3 linked regions of the Drosophila melanogaster genome follow. The protein of the gene in region 2 purifies or fractionates together with the protein of the main gene of each other region. This does not show direct contact. Each region holds a gene or a part of one and is shown on either strand. Other genes may lie near its edges. The genes, in order: rin, orb and CkIIbeta.

Region 1 (5,057 bases), 9.6 Mb from region 2:
TTGGTATGTATGCCTGTATGCAGCCGCCATTTTGGGTACAAAACTGGAAGAGCACAAAATAACAACGAAATAGCCGAAACAAAGAGTAATGCGAATTAAAAAGAATACACTGACAAATACAAACATAACTTTTTCCAACGTTTTTTTTCGCCACATTTTTTGCAAGTGAAAGGCAACCGTATGATTTGTGTTCGTATGCGTCACAGTGTGTCTGTGGGGCAACGTGGGAAACAAACATAACCTCACAAAGGGGAGAAAATGTGCTCCTAGCTTAAGAAAACTCTGGTTTTCATTGCGGAAAGTGCGTGTGTGTGCAGGGGAAAACGTTGAAAATTTTCCATGTCTCCCGAGACTGTGATGATGCATTTTGGCCCGAAGATTCTATTAATATGACTGAAGTACAGTCGCACCGACACCTCACACACACACACTTAAACACACTCCGACGCACGAGCGCAAGCGAGAGAGAACACAAAAGGGGTCAGACTTCCCCCGCAGAACCCCGTAAAATCCAATGAAACTCGACCAACGACGTTAGCTTTGCATTTACGTAACAGAGTAGGCAATATACACTATGTAGAAGCAGAAAATCTATGGGGGGCACATGATCATCGGTTGCCCGTTGCAAAAATAAAAAAGAACAAAAAAAAAACGTATCCGCCGGATAATGGACATACCTGTCGTCGTCCCGCTGGCCGGATGCGGCCGATTGGTTGTCCGAACTGCCGTTGGTCGAGCCGGCGGCGCCCGCATCACCATTTTCAGATCCCGGACCGTCGGCAGTCACGTCCTTGGTGAAATCCTCGCCGTTTATTTCTGTATCCACTTGCTTGTTCTCGGCCATTTTGTGTGTTTTCGACTGATCTACTAATTTCGGGGGCTAGGCAGCACGATATTCGTTTTTTACGCAGAGCCGGAGATTTTTATACACACTCGCCAAAAAGTCGCGCGTACGAATGAAATGACGACCGGAAAATGATAAATGCAAACGACAGCGTGTGTATATGGGTGCGGCGTTGCCACCTTGATGTTTTCCCAGTCAAGTCGATTTGGTATTATTTTGGTAAATATTTGTATTGTATTTGCTTGCTCTACCTGGAGATTGTTAGCTATACATTTGCCAAGGATTAAATTGGGATTTTCTGTACGATACCACCCCAAATAAGCCTATATAAGGAGCTAAATGGGCGCGTGACTTGTCTGCTTGCAGTATGGCAGCTTTGATTTATACAATGTACACACACCTATGAAGAGAAAATGAAAAGAATACCAAAAATTTTATACAAATATTTTAAAGCCCAGTTTACACAATGGACAAGTTACTTGGTTTATAAATTCATTTTAGTTGTATTAAAGGTTTAAATATTTAAATAAATATTAAGTATTTCATAAACATTTATAATTTTATAAATATAAAAAATACAATGTTCATTATTTACTATGTGTTGGGAACGAAAACAACATTTACATACAAAGAATTGTTTAAAATCGAATTTTCATATTAACTTCTTATAGGCTGAAACATCAACAATATTTTAAATCATTTAATTGGTTTATATTAAATATTTTTATTTTTTGCAAAAATTTATACAATTTTCATATTCGGATTTCCCAACAGGTTATAATATAACGTTATTATGGTTTTTATTTATTTGCTATATAAAATGTTTCCTTTAAAGAAAGGTGTTTCATGAGCTTACTCAAAAAATCGGAAATGGCTAAAATGAAAATAAGTTTTATAAAACTATTTAAAAGAAACTTAGCGCCCCTAAAATGAGCTTAATTGAGCTCAAATATGAAAATATCAAATTCATCAAAATATTCTATGGAACATACTAGATTAACCACCCCAAAAAAAGAAGTGTGTGCACACCCTTGGAAAAGCCGCCATCATTCACACACCAACACACGCGAAACCAAGAATAAAACTGTGCAGAGGCAAAAAAGAGGAAAAGAGGAACGAACGTCGGTTCTCTTCTCGATTCAACACACTTGTCCAATTTCATTGCGTTTGCGATTATTTTCTACTCAAAAGCCACAACATATGCATCGTAACTTAATTCAACAACAACTGTGATCGCCAAACATCAGAAAGCAACAAAAAATACACGTCAAGAATTGCCAAGTTAGTTATTCTCAAAAAAAAAGACAAAAAGAATTGCAACAAACTAGACTAGTGTGTGTGTGTGAGCGAGTGAGTGCATTGGTGTGTGTGGCTGTGTGTTTTGTGTGCAGCTTGCAATTTTATACTGCATTTCATACGTTTCGACTATCGTTTTGTAAATTAAAAAAACCGCATAATTTCAGCGCTCCACTAAGAAATCCAACTCTCCCCGCCCCCCGCAGGAAGATAACAAAGAAAAGTGCTACAAAAAGTGCCGATTTTTCGGCAAACTTCAACCCAAAAGCAATACACACTGTGCATTACAAAAAGGAAAAATAAAAACGAGGAAAAATATCGCTTAAAAAAGGTGAGCCGGCGACGGCCTCGTGTGCGCGGTCTAGAAAAACTAGCATTTTCCATTTTCAAAGGGGTGGCGCATACTAGGAAAAAATCAACATAAAAAATGCTAAATGGGCGTATATTTTATTATTGCGGCAGGGCTCTATCTCTTAAATTTTTTTTTTTACCATTTTAGCGGCTTTTTTTATTATCGCTTGTGCATAACCTAAAAATGTACGAAAAATTTTGTTTTTGTACATTTTTGTTTAAATGCTGCTCTTCAACTATAGCTTTCTTTGTTCTTCCTACACACGCGGTTCGCAAGCAGAAATAGAGTGGGAAAGAGAGAACCCGAAAGAGCGGCGCGTTCATAACCGAATATGTGTGCGTGTGGGTTTGCCGCAACTCATTGTGCATTTTTTGTTTTATCGGCAAATGTTTATGGCTAAAATGGGGCAAAGGACACCTGCAAACATTGATATTTACTTACACCTTTTAACGCTATTTCAAGTGTTTTTGCAAGGCAGCAATTTGATATTTTGGCCAAGCTGGAGTTCATTGTATGCGGCGCCACAACCTTGAGACCCGAACATAACCTCAATTTAATTCATGCTCCTCGCTTGGCGGCTTCTTTTTTTTCTTTGCCAAATTGTATGAGGTCATTTACTCGCGCACACACACACACGTGCAAAGTTCAGTCAGCCAGGATCGCAGGCATAAAAGCTGGAGCACGTGCAGGGTTAAATGTCCTGCGACGGCAAGCAAATTGGAATTTTTCCTGACAGCTGCACTACACCAAATTTCCCCTTTTCGCATGTGCAAATGTGTGTGGGCCCCAAAAGTGGGTCAAACTGCAGCGCGCTGCGTCTGTTTTATATGCACTGCGGTAAAATGAGCTCCCTGTTTTGGGTGTACAAACCTCCCCCCCTCCCCGCCGTCCTTGTGACCAAGCGAAACTCTAGATCCTTATTGGAGAGCACAGCAGGGGTCAACACTTTGGTAGTCAGTCACATTTCTCTAGAAATTTATGTAAAAGAAGCACAGATTGATTTAATGGACAGTCTGAAAATCCAATTAAATTTGTTTCTTATATTTGCGTGTTTTACCGTTATCAAGCCTTAATTCTCCAAATTAAATTTACACGTGATGAAATTAACTGATAACACAACTAGTGATTCATTATGGTTTCTATACTTTTACCGGCACAGGTATGAATAAGCCATCTTTGAACACCTTTTGGAGATTGTAAGAAACAGGGTAGCAGCTTCCTTTAATTTCAAATTATCAGATTGAAAAATCTACACAGTCGTCTAGGACTTTTGCCAACTTTTCTTTTTTTTTATTAAAAAAACCAGACAGATTTTCATAGTGCGCGTATATTTTTTGCACTATTTCGCAGACGTTCCCACACTCTCAATCGACACAGATCAGCCACCGTGTCGATAGATCCGAGCAGCAGCTAGAAAGAAGGGAAGCAGAAATTGGAAGCGGAGACAAAGAATCCGAGTCGAAGAGTCCGTAGTTCAGAGAGGAAGAATCAAACGCCAGCTATGGTCATGGATGCGACCCAATCGCAGCAGCCTTCGCCGCAATCTGTGGGACGCGAGTTTGTCCGCCAGTACTACACGCTGTTGAACAAGGCGCCCAACCACTTGCATCGCTTCTATAACCACAACTCGTCGTACATCCATGGAGAGTCCAAGCTGGTGGTCGGTCAGCGGGAGATCCACAACCGAATCCAGCAGCTGAACTTCAACGATTGCCACGCGAAGATCAGCCAGGTTGATGCCCAGGCCACTTTGGGCAACGGTGTGGTGGTTCAGGTCACCGGGGAGCTATCCAATGATGGCCAGCCGATGCGGCGTTTTACCCAGACGTTCGTTCTGGCCGCTCAGTCGCCGAAGAAGTACTACGTGCACAACGACATCTTCCGCTATCAGGATCTCTACATCGAGGACGAGCAGGATGGCGAGTCGCGATCGGAGAACGATGAGGAGCACGATGTGCAGGTCGTCGGTGGCACTGTGGATCAAGCTGTGCAGGTGGCCGGCGATGTAGTTGCCCAGCAGCCGCAGCAACAGCAGGCTCCTCCGCAGCCACAGGCTCAGGTCGTGGTGCCCCAGCAGGTAGCTCCTGTAGCGGCCGGTGGTGCTGCCCCACAGCAGATCTTCTACCCATTGCCAGCGGGTGCTGCCGCCGGACGTCCTGTGGCTGTTTTGCCACCAGCTCCGCAAGCCGCTGCTGTTCCACTGCCCGCGCAGTTCACCGTTCCGCCGCCACAGCCCATCCAGAACGGTGTGGTGTCGCACGAGGAGCTGCAGCAGCAGCAGGTGCTGGTCCCACCCAGCGTGTCTCCCCTGGTACAGCAGCAGCAGCCGACCGGCACGCCTGTGTTGCCCATTGTTCCAGTGCCAAGCGCGGGCTTCCAACAGTCGCCACTGGTGGCACCACAGCTCATCCAGCAGCAGCAGCAGCAGCAACCGGCACAGCTGCCCCCGCAGCAGCAGCAGCAGCAGCAACCTATCCAGCAGCAGCAGCCTTTGCAACAGCAGCAACAACCGCTGGCTGAGCCCGAGGAAGTGGAGGTGGCGCCAAGGCAGCAGAAGCCTCCCAC
Region 2 (5,215 bases):
GGTATAGACACTGCTTACACGACGAAATTGACATTTTGCATTTAGTTATTCAGTTGGGTCTATATTTTGATCTTTTTTTTCTACCATTTTGCTGCCGCCGCTGGCAGCCACAATAAAATGAGAAGAAAAATTGCATAATAACCCCTTTGAAATCGTCGGATTATCCTTAAATATTTGTGTAAACATTGTAACAAATGCGCAGCTCCATTGTCAGCCAACTCGGGCCATGGATGCAGCACAGAACCAACCTCCATCCTTCATCCTCCACCTCTGTTTCCATCTCCGCCTCTTTGAAAGCCATCCCCAATCCATTGACGTAGTCAAGGCGGCTTTTCCTCAACCCCTGTGCGTCGTCTGTCGTCAAATGCCTGAATGATGAGCAATAGACGGGTCCGGGTCTCCTGTCACAGTCGACAATGAGCAACTTTTTCCAAAGGCGGAAGACGTGGCAAGGATACAAACGGGCCGCGTAGCCAACAATGGGACCAAGTGCTCCGCCGAGGAGGGAAAGCGTCTTAAAAAACCTGTCACACATATTGACAGTCGCTTTAGGATCGCTTAAATCAAGTCTGGGGTCGGCGGGGGCATGAGCCGAGTCGTCGGGTTGGTTAGCATGTGCGTATCAGCATAAAGGATATTGTAATCATTACATGTAATTCACATTTGGGGGTGAAGGGCAATTGCCGCAACTGACATAATTTTGATGTGTATTGATATGAAGCGGATTGTCAGGCAGGATAATTAATTTTCCAGAGGATAAAGAAAAACTCAGGAAGGGACATGTAATATTTTGAGCCATAAGAGGCTAATAGCTGTCTGCTTGTACTGTCACTGGAGTTTTAAGATTATTAGACAAACTTTTACGAATCTTTAAAGACATAAAAATCTGGATACTAATGGCAGTTGTAAAGCGTGCCCAACAACTTTAGCTCTGTTTTTTATCCGCTATTCCAATGCTTCCATTTGCTCTCTGCGCTTTTTCTGTACCGCTCAGTGTCCTAATCGAATCATCTCATTTAAGTGAATTAAAAAACATATAAAGGCGAGCAAAATTAAATCACGCAACTATTTTGCGCAACAAAGAGTACAATTAAAAGCCCACCCGGCGGCAAAAAGGACGAAAAGGAGGCGCAGTGGTGTCTGGCGCAGAAAACGCCGCAAGTTTAATCGAATTTAACTACTCATAATGTGCAACAGACGTTGGCGGATGGGGCTGTTTCAGTGGGTGGTGGGGTGGTTTGAAAAACTCTCAGAAGTGTAGGCGTAAAGTTGGGCACTAATCTTATTAGGATCATCCCGGGCCAGCCACTCACGAATCCCAATTGGGAAGATGAACTGAAAAAGCCAGCTGATGTAGAGCTCTCTCACTCGCTCGGTCGTTCTCTCTCTCCCTCTTTCTCTCTAGCCGACTTTATTCGTACGTGAGCGTTTCAATTACCGCTCTGGAGTGCGAATGGGTTTTATTATTATTTACATACCTGTTGCAGCAGGGGCATTGTTTTGAATAAAAATTCCAATTTCCACACTTGTTCACGTTGCGCTCCTTGTTCGTTCGTGCTCGTTCGCGTTCGTTCGTGTTCGGCAGGAGCAGCATCCGCCAACTGACAAAGCGGCAAAACAGATGTCACCACTTCCGCCTCTCGTACCTTCCCTTTCCCACTCCCACTGCCGGCGGAGAGCCCGTTCGCGCACCGTCTCTCTCGCCCTCTCTCTTTCACTCCTGCGCAGGCCTTTCGGTTGGAGTTCGCTGCGGTTCGAGTCCAAGTTCGTGTTGGATCTGGTTGGAGTTTGAATTGGATGCCGAGCCTCGGGCAAGGAATCTGGTTTTTGTTGTTGTTTATTGGAGCTCCACAGGATAACGCGACTGAGCGAGCGAGAGGGGCGAAGGCGAACCAAGACAGCTGGCAGATGTGGCCGTATCAGCAGCAAATAGTCATCGATTCATTCCGCCTCGTCAACGATGCAAATTTCCAAAGGCCTGAAATATCATAAGCATGAATTAATTATAAGAGTACTCTTCTTTGTAGTTTCCAAATCAGTGGAGTTTAAAGAAAACACACGCGTACGCACTTGAGCGTTAAATGCCGTAAATCGATCAAGGCGTATCCCTCTCTCTCCTACTCTCTATGACACTGTCCCGGCTAACTGTAATTAACTGTAATCCAGGGTCGTTTACTTTAAAGGGGGCTTTTATGGCCGCCAATAACACAAACTATGCATTATCCTTTCGGGTGGTAATCCTTTCGGAAGCTGTGTGTTGAGCGAACCTATTATTAGAGCCATAAATCAGCATGAAATGAGCAGTGGCAGCGAAGTTGGAGTTGTAAAATGGAGATGGAGATGGGGCCAAGCCCTGTCTCGCCCTTTCTCTACTCTCTCCATCTCACTCTCGCGCTCTGTGCGTAGAATAATGGGTAGTAAGAATAAGTGTGCACACAGAAAGAAAAATTGCTATACTTTCATGAATTGCACTGTTATTCATATTTCTTTTCAATTGATACCGGACAATCCAAAAATCTATTATTGTGCACACCTTACATTTTATTAACGAATTAAGACCCCGCGCAATTCCAGCTTCATTTCCTCTGTGTGGCCAAGGCGGCGATTGATTGCCGTAGTTTTTGGAGAGATGACGTGAGCCAAAGGCAACAGAAAAAAAAACAGGACCAACGGCACATAATAGTAGTGTGTAGTTGTAAAGTTGTAAAATACGCACGTCGAGAATGAGAGAACGAAAAATGAGCCGCTGCCCTGTTTTTCTTCACCTTCTTGTTACCAACTAATTTGAACTGCACCATTTTTCGGTCAACAATTTCTAGTGCCGGCTAACACTGATACACCAATACATACCCAGGACTCGCAAAAACACGCGGATGGCGCATAAATTCGTGTGAATTTTATTTTAATTCCGCACTTGCAATCGCATCCCGTTTCTTTTGTCGTCCACCAAGCACATTTTTACACACACTCGCACACACGCCGCCAGGAACCGTTACTTCTGCTTTGCACGCCCTTCGCCGTTTTCCGTTTCTCCTTCCGATGCTGTTTCGCCAAACTACTCACTCACGGACGCATTTTTTACTATTAAACTATTTTGATTGTTGAAAATCTTTGCGACTGTGGTATGGCACCACATTAACTCGAATTTAAAATTGAGCCTTAAATTTGAGCGGACCCTGCCGCGGCAATACAAATTAATAGAACAAACTAAATTATCATCCCGTGATATCTTTTATTTTGGAATTTTAGTCGGGATTTTTTGATATTATGGCCACGCCACGGCGTGCAACGCTGCTTAAATAACCTTTTTCGCCTGGCTCTGTCGAACCAACCGCATGCAACCGCTCTCTTGAACTTAAAAGCGCTCATTTGTTTGAAACAACTTGTGTTCGACGATTCCTCGACAAAAAAAGAAACAGTCATTAAAATTCGCACAAATGGCTGAACTATTTAAATAATTTATTTAATTTGTATTTTCATTTAAAGTTTTGGTTTTAAAATAATTTTTATATTTCCATTAATTTTATTACTTATTGGTAAAGCATTAACAGCAACCAAATTTTTTTCACTGGCGTAAACAACTGTTTCCAGTGAATGGCAACAATACAGCTGTTTTGCACAGAGTTGCCACTATGTTCAAATGAGTTATTACCAGCGGCGGAAAACTTGTATCAAATTTATAACAAAAATACAATTCTGCGTTAATAAAAATGCCCGGGGACACGGAAAACACAAGCACTGACACCACCAATGAACACATCGACCTGGCCTTGTACCGGCAGCTGGTCAAACAATTCATAGACATGGTAAGACAAAAAAACCAAAAGCCGGCAAGCAGAGCCTGAGTGCAAATTCAATTGCATTTTTAGCGTCGCTACTCCACAGCGCTTTTTTGGGCAGAAAAGGTGGCCGTGCTTGGTGGCCTGGAACCCAGGGATATTTACTACCAGGCGCAGTGCATGTACCTACTGGGGGAATACCATCGTGCTGCTCACACAATACAGCATCACAAGCTAGAGAAGAATTCACTGCCATGTTTTAACCTACTACTGGAAAGTCTCTATGCGGCCAAGGAGTTTACCGAGGCGGCCAATGTCATCCAGAATGTGGAGGTGGAAGTCATGACCACATCGCTGATCAACCAGCCCGTTGATGCAAGCAGTGGCTGCTATCTGGAAAGCAACAGTGTCTTTGGTGGCGAGGAGAATCACAGAAATGAACTGCTCTCATCCATTTACCTAATGAAGGGCAAAGTTTATGAGGCCCTGGACAATCGCGGCATGGCAATGGACTTCTATGTTCAGGCCCTTCACAAATCCATATACTGCTTTGAGGCCCTGGAGGCGCTGGTTCAACACGAAATGCTGATGGCTTGGGAAGGTGAGCATGCACCTACTTTCTGAATACAGTATAATCTCAACTTAATCATTGCAGAGTTTGAGCTAATGCATCATTTACCGCTGGCACAACAATCCAGCGAAGCTGATGCCAAGTTTATACTAAAACTTTATGAATCTCGCCTGAAGAAGTACTACGAGTTGATTTCCGCACGCAATGCTGAGGAGATGTCCCCCATTGTTAATCCTGACATACTCCAGTTTATCAAGGAATTTACAGCTCGAGTGCAGCAGAGCGGGTCGTCAGACACACAAATGCCCAAGGTGAGCGCCGTCAAGGTGCCGCTTACGCCCAGCCAGTTCATGTCGCCCGCACAGAAGTCAGTTCTCCTGATATTTCTAATATTTAGCGCATTCTTATTGAAGTTGTATCTTTAAGAGTCCTGGAAGATCTAAAGGCGCCCACATTTTCCCTACAAACTAGTCTCTCAAAGGCTTCTTCCCTCATTGATGCTTCTCACCGGTCCATGTTTGACTCATCCAGTAGGAGGCGATCGCGTGATCATGACACGGACACATTAATTCCTATCGCTGAATGTCTTGATCGGGTACAACGTAGTACTGACCTAATGGCCGCTGAGGCGGAGAAGTGTTTCTACGACTGCGACTACAAACAGTGCCTGAAAATACTCAATGAGTAAGTGAAGAACGGCGTAAAAGACTTATATTGATCAAAAATGTATTTGGTTTTGCTTATCATATATAGACTCCTTAAGGTGGATCCCTTTCATAACACTGCACTGACCATTCAGATTGCCTGTCTGGTGGAAAACGGCGACTTTAATCGGCTATTTTACGTAGCCCATAAGCTGGTGGAC
Region 3 (5,138 bases), on a different chromosome or scaffold from region 2:
CGATATTTTGGTTTTATGTTTGGTTTTATTCAGACAGGCAGAGACATGATTGTATTCATAATCATATTCAGGTTCAGGTTGTCGATCGGATTTTATGGATGTTTGATTTGATTTGGTTTGGTTTTTTTTTGTGGTGGTGGTGGTGGTTGGTTTGGTGGTTTTGTATGTGTGGGGAGAGAAAACAAATAAAAAAGATATAATATATTTATATGCTTAGTAGTTGAATGATCCCTTGGTGGCGTTGTGTTTTTTTTAGTCAATATATAGAATTTTAGATTCCAAAATAAAATACAACAAAAAAAGATGAGAGAGTGGGGTAAATGGTGGAAAGGATACTAATAGCTAGTTATTAAGTTTTAAATTTACCGCTCGTAGTGGCATTTTAAAATTGGCTGCTGCCTGCAGCTGAATTTGATAAGCTAAGCTGTGTATTTTAAATCCATATAGCCTATGTATGTGATGATCAAGTTGACGTCGTATCGGGCACATAAAACAAAAGAGCATATTAACAATGTGCATATACAGTAATGGGTATAAATCTTACCTTGGAACAAACTGATTAGTAGGACGCTTGGGACGATATTCGGGATGCACCATGAAGAGCATGTGTGGAAATCCAGTGCCGAAATAGGCGCCATCGGTATGGTGGTGACGCGACGATTTTGGTGTGTACACGTCAATGCACTTGGGGCAATAGGTCTTAACCATTGCCTCGCCGGGGATGTCCGACAGACCTGAGGATAATAATCAAAGGATTAGACCACTGGCAGAGCAACTAGCAACTAGAAAAAGTCAGAATTCATCGGTGAAATCTGGTACAAACATATTTAACCTGATTTAACTCAACATGATATCCATCATGATCATTTATCATTAATAGCAGAAATGTTTACAAGGCTCGTCTAGCCACTTTGGCCTAGTTAATTTTCACAGAAATTGAGGGACCTTGTTTAGTGAAACCCTATCTTGCATTTGTGCATGCATTTGATTCAGCATTGCTTTATTTGATCGTTAACAACGTTTAGGGAAGTTTCGGTAAGAATTTATTGGAGATCGGGAAGCGTTGCGAAGGTTTTAACTAGGGCAAGCCAAGCCAGACAATTAAGGTAGAATTTCTATTAAGAATGCGTTGTTTTTTTCTTGGTGTAAGATTTCATGGGAAAGCCCCAATGATATGCTATTCAGGAAACTCAATTAGAAGTTGTGCCAATAATCGCGTTGATAGTTTCTGGCTATGTAATTACTAGGCAGAAAAGCACGAGGTTCCTCGTAGATATGTTGTTTTTTTTTTTTTTTTTTAGATTACAATCAATTACGCGCAGAAAGATTCGCAACTATGTTTGTTAGCTATAGGTAAGAGCGATTGATCAAGGATCTGGTTACGCACCCAATGGCAGCATGGGCTGACTTTCACAGTAGACACGTGGACAATGTCCGAAATCGCCAGTTTGATATTTCTCGATCATTTGAGCGATGCCGCGATTTGTTAGTATATATCTGGCGTGTATGAGGCCGTAGAGCATCTCGGCGGCCTGCTCGGTCATGTCGGACTGCAGTGGATTGTCCTCGAGCTCGTCCTCTGTGGATGGTAAGGCGCATTAGCTATATACATTACAATTTTGGATATGGGTAACAGCCCATTCTAAACTTACCCGGTTCCAAGTCCAAGATCATGTCCAACGCTTGCCGATAGTTGGGTACCTGCTCATTTAAACCAGTTAAATTGAATTTATCCTGTATGTAGTCCTCATCCACCTGGAATCAAAAGCGTATGCAATTAGGATCTGTACTGGAATATACTGTCATATATCCACTATATCGTGTGTTATCTGGACATGTGTGTACAGTTGGGCTCGGTATTGCCCCACCTTGCGGCACACACGCACACACACACACACACACGCGCGCGCAAAGGCAGAGATTGAGGGCTGCACTTTGCAATTGTTGCACTTATAGCGCGCGCTTAGATAACGCGATTACAGCGAAGAACGCGGGTAATTCGTCGTTGATGCTGATATGATGATGATATCTCACCTCGCAGAAGAACTCATTGCCACGAAGTCCACAGAACCAGGTGACCCAGGAGACTTCCTCGGAGCTGCTCATTTTGCTGCAAAGATAAGCGAATGGAGTTGCTAATTCATATTTTCATCGTTTTTTTTTTGCTGACAAATTATCCTGCACACGCATACCACACATGCACACCGCACTCTCACACACACAGGCAATCATGGCACACACACTGGGACAAACGCTCACGCACTATTACATACATTAAGGGGATTATTTTGCGTAATTTGGGCTGGCGTGCGAAATTTATTGTTAAAATATCTTGGAACGGAATCTTGGCACTTTCTTGTCTACCCCACCCCCCCTGCTTTCTTCACGTTTCCTTTTGGTTCCGCTTCTTGTTGCTCGCACAAACCACACTCTCTTTTTCCGCTTTTTTCTTCTTTCCTCCTCTTTTTTTTTGGTTGGATTGGCCTTTTGGGGTTTTTGTTTTCGGTTTTCCGTTTAATTCGCGTTGCTTGTACAATGTTACTAGTTTTCGGTGATCGCACCGTTGAAATTCGTGTGGTCGGGGGGCATAAAAATAAATTTTTATACTCGTATTGTGACAATTGACAAGCGCTCATACAAAATGTGCCGAGCAGCAAGAAGAAGCACACACTGTTGGAAATTGAGAAAAAAAGAGACACATATACAGGGGCCACCACACGCACACAAGCAAACACGCACACCGCGAAGCGCACATAGGGACGTGCACACACGCACGCCTTTACACCGATGAGCGCAATCCAACGCACACCAACTTGCTATTCTGTATTTTTCCCGCTGCGGCTATCTTCCAGTGGCCAGCACTCACCCAAATTGTTAATAATTACTCAAATTGATCGACTTTTGTACTGCAGCTGAACCGGTAAAGGCAAATATTGTAGCGAAGACGATGATATCAGGTATGCAATCTCGACTATCGATTACCGCTGTCCTGCGCTGTCCGCAGGCGATTGCCAATCGATGTGGCGCCGTGTCATCGCTAAGCGATGTATCGGCTAATCGGGATTGCGCGTTTCGCAACACTGGTTCGGAAAAGCAATTAACCAAACAAAACGCGGAATTATTTGTTAAATAAGCAAATCAAGCCAAATATTAAAATATTGTTTATTACCAGCATTTAGTTGGCTGTTTTGCCATTTGTCAAATAATTTACCGATTGCAGCTAGCAATATTTTCTTACAACTACTTTAAGGTATTATTTCGTTTAGTTGTATGGTAACACTATGTTGAAAGTTTGAAATGTTTGAAAGTGCTTATTTAAATTTGTATTATTGACAAAATAAATCGGGTTTTCGTATAATATTTTCTCTTAGTTGATTGATTAGACTAATAATACAAGAACGAGCGATAAACCCACTGCATGCATTTTAAGCGCAATCGCTCGAAAGATGTCAGAGTGAGAGCGAAGCGAGTTGCGAGCTTAAGCGAAAAAGCGAGAGCAAGGCCTTATCGCTTCAACTCGCTCAGGGCGTACGATTGTTTTGTTATATTCTGCGCTATATTACCGTTTATTTTCAAAACACACGTTATTTTGTTTTGTCTTGTTCCATTCTGTAAATAACCTTTTATATAAATTATTGAATTCGCCTTTTTCATTTCTATTTCAGTTAAGAGGGTGGACGACAGTTTTAACAGAAAGTTAATAGTTGCGCTTGATGCAAAAAATTCCTCGTCCGAATCCATCACGTTCACATTAATAACTAAAAGAGAGCAATGTAGCTCGTTTCTCGCTTAGCTCTTACTCTGCCATCGACTCGCTTTGCTCACAGCTTCTCGCTTTGCTCATAGCTTCTCGCTTCGCTACTAGCGCGCACTCTGCCGTCAGGCTTATTGATAATTTTGAAGATTTCCTTGGCTCTCTTGCGTCCATTCACAACATAGGCCAGTGGATCGTCGCGACTAGATTCCATTAGATTGTCGCACGATTCCTGCCCGATGTTAAACATAAAGGATGTGTCGATATCCTGCGGCAACTTGCCGCGCAGAAAGCTGATCTCGTTGTCGGCCAACGATGTTTTCCGCGACAAAAGCAGGGCGGACAGGTAACGTGGTTGCTTCTTCTTCTCGGCGCAGTGCATCACCAGGCCCCAGGTGTCGTAGTCCGTGTCCAGAACGTATGTGTTGTAGATGCCCTCATCTGCAAGGAGGTACATATAGAAACGAAAATACTGCTTAAAACATATATTAAACCCGGGCAGATCGAATTACTCTTTGGCATAGTAATTACCAAACTACTTCAAACGTATCACAACTACATTTTGAATAGATTTTCGTTTTGAATTTGATTGTAGAAACATTTCCATCACTCACATATGTCCTCCGTGTGCTGCCAATGTCCTGGCTCTTGGAATTTGGGTATCATCCAGGTGATGTTGCCCACGAGCTTCTCGCGCAGCGGATCCTCCGCAAATATGTAGCTAAAGTTCATCGTTATCTAATTTAAATTGAGGTATTGAGGTATAATTTGTAATAGGGATAAAGGTCCTTGCTGCCACTCACATGCTGATCCTCTTTGGAAAAGGAAAAGTGACTGCGCATGCACGCGTACTCCGGAAGTTCCTCTGTGGATGCGTAATACTGAACCACGTGCCAACAGCCCATCATGCGCTCCAAATCGAAGTTCTTAATGGCTCCCACCTAAACGGAAAATTAGTTCCATAATAAGTTAGATATGTAAGTAATTTAGAGGAGGTCTTTATAATGTTGTATAATATAATATATAATGTAATCTATAATGATAAAGATCTATTATACTTTATGATAGGAGTTTTTTTCTATTACCTATATATATATACATTAGACAGCGAGGGTTTCTGGTTAAGATTCACATACATATCTTATATTTATAATAACTCTTGAGACAGTCGTGCTTTTTAATGGGTATTTAAAAACCCTGGTGTACGATCATTATTATGATATTTGAGAGGTCAGGGCTGCTAATAAATATGCCCAATAAACGTTAAGACCACAAATGCATCTTGGCTATAATCCCAATTCAACTTAGCTAGCTGCATGTGTGTATTTACATTGTTTGCCCTGGCGACCACAAAACAAAACAAACTTCGGTTGGTGAAAGAGTC

Evidence for each region.
Region 1: the proteins of orb (region 2) and rin purify together in Drosophila melanogaster (affinity purification with mass spectrometry; 2 studies listed by BioGRID, with this or other methods). This does not show direct contact.
Region 3: the proteins of orb (region 2) and CkIIbeta purify together in Drosophila melanogaster (affinity purification with western blotting; one study listed by BioGRID). This does not show direct contact.

What each region holds. Positions count from the first base shown.
Region 1 is NT_033777.3:13,645,076-13,650,132, forward strand, and holds the start of rin (rasputin), read left to right. Parts: upstream 1-1,928; 5' UTR 1,929-2,125; exon of another isoform or gene 2,126-2,194; intron 2,195-2,307; exon of another isoform or gene 2,308-2,471; intron 2,472-3,746; exon of another isoform or gene 3,747-3,842; 5' UTR 3,843-3,993; coding exon 3,994-5,057. Other genes in the region: sqd (squid), read right to left, coding at 678-844.
Region 2 is NT_033777.3:23,277,581-23,282,795, forward strand, and holds the start of orb (oo18 RNA-binding protein), read right to left. Parts: upstream 3,277-5,215; 5' UTR 2,851-3,276; intron 1,979-2,850; 5' UTR 1,497-1,978; coding exon 1,479-1,496; intron 1-1,478. Other genes in the region: Cdc16 (cell division cycle 16), read left to right, coding at 3,711-3,806, 3,870-4,380, 4,435-4,717, 4,777-5,034, 5,104-5,215.
Region 3 is NC_004354.4:11,790,415-11,795,552, reverse strand, and holds the start of CkIIbeta (casein kinase II beta subunit), read right to left. Parts: upstream 3,021-5,138; 5' UTR 2,867-3,020; intron 2,840-2,866; exon of another isoform or gene 2,808-2,839; intron 2,675-2,807; exon of another isoform or gene 2,274-2,674; intron 2,111-2,273; 5' UTR 2,107-2,110; coding exon 2,035-2,106; intron 1,756-2,034; coding exon 1,653-1,755; intron 1,580-1,652; coding exon 1,388-1,579; intron 735-1,387; coding exon 545-734; intron 449-544; coding exon 367-448; intron 1-366. Other genes in the region: karl, read right to left, coding at 3,822-4,195, 4,369-4,492, 4,558-4,695. UniProt on the Drosophila melanogaster protein: Participates in Wnt signaling. Plays a complex role in regulating the basal catalytic activity of the alpha subunit.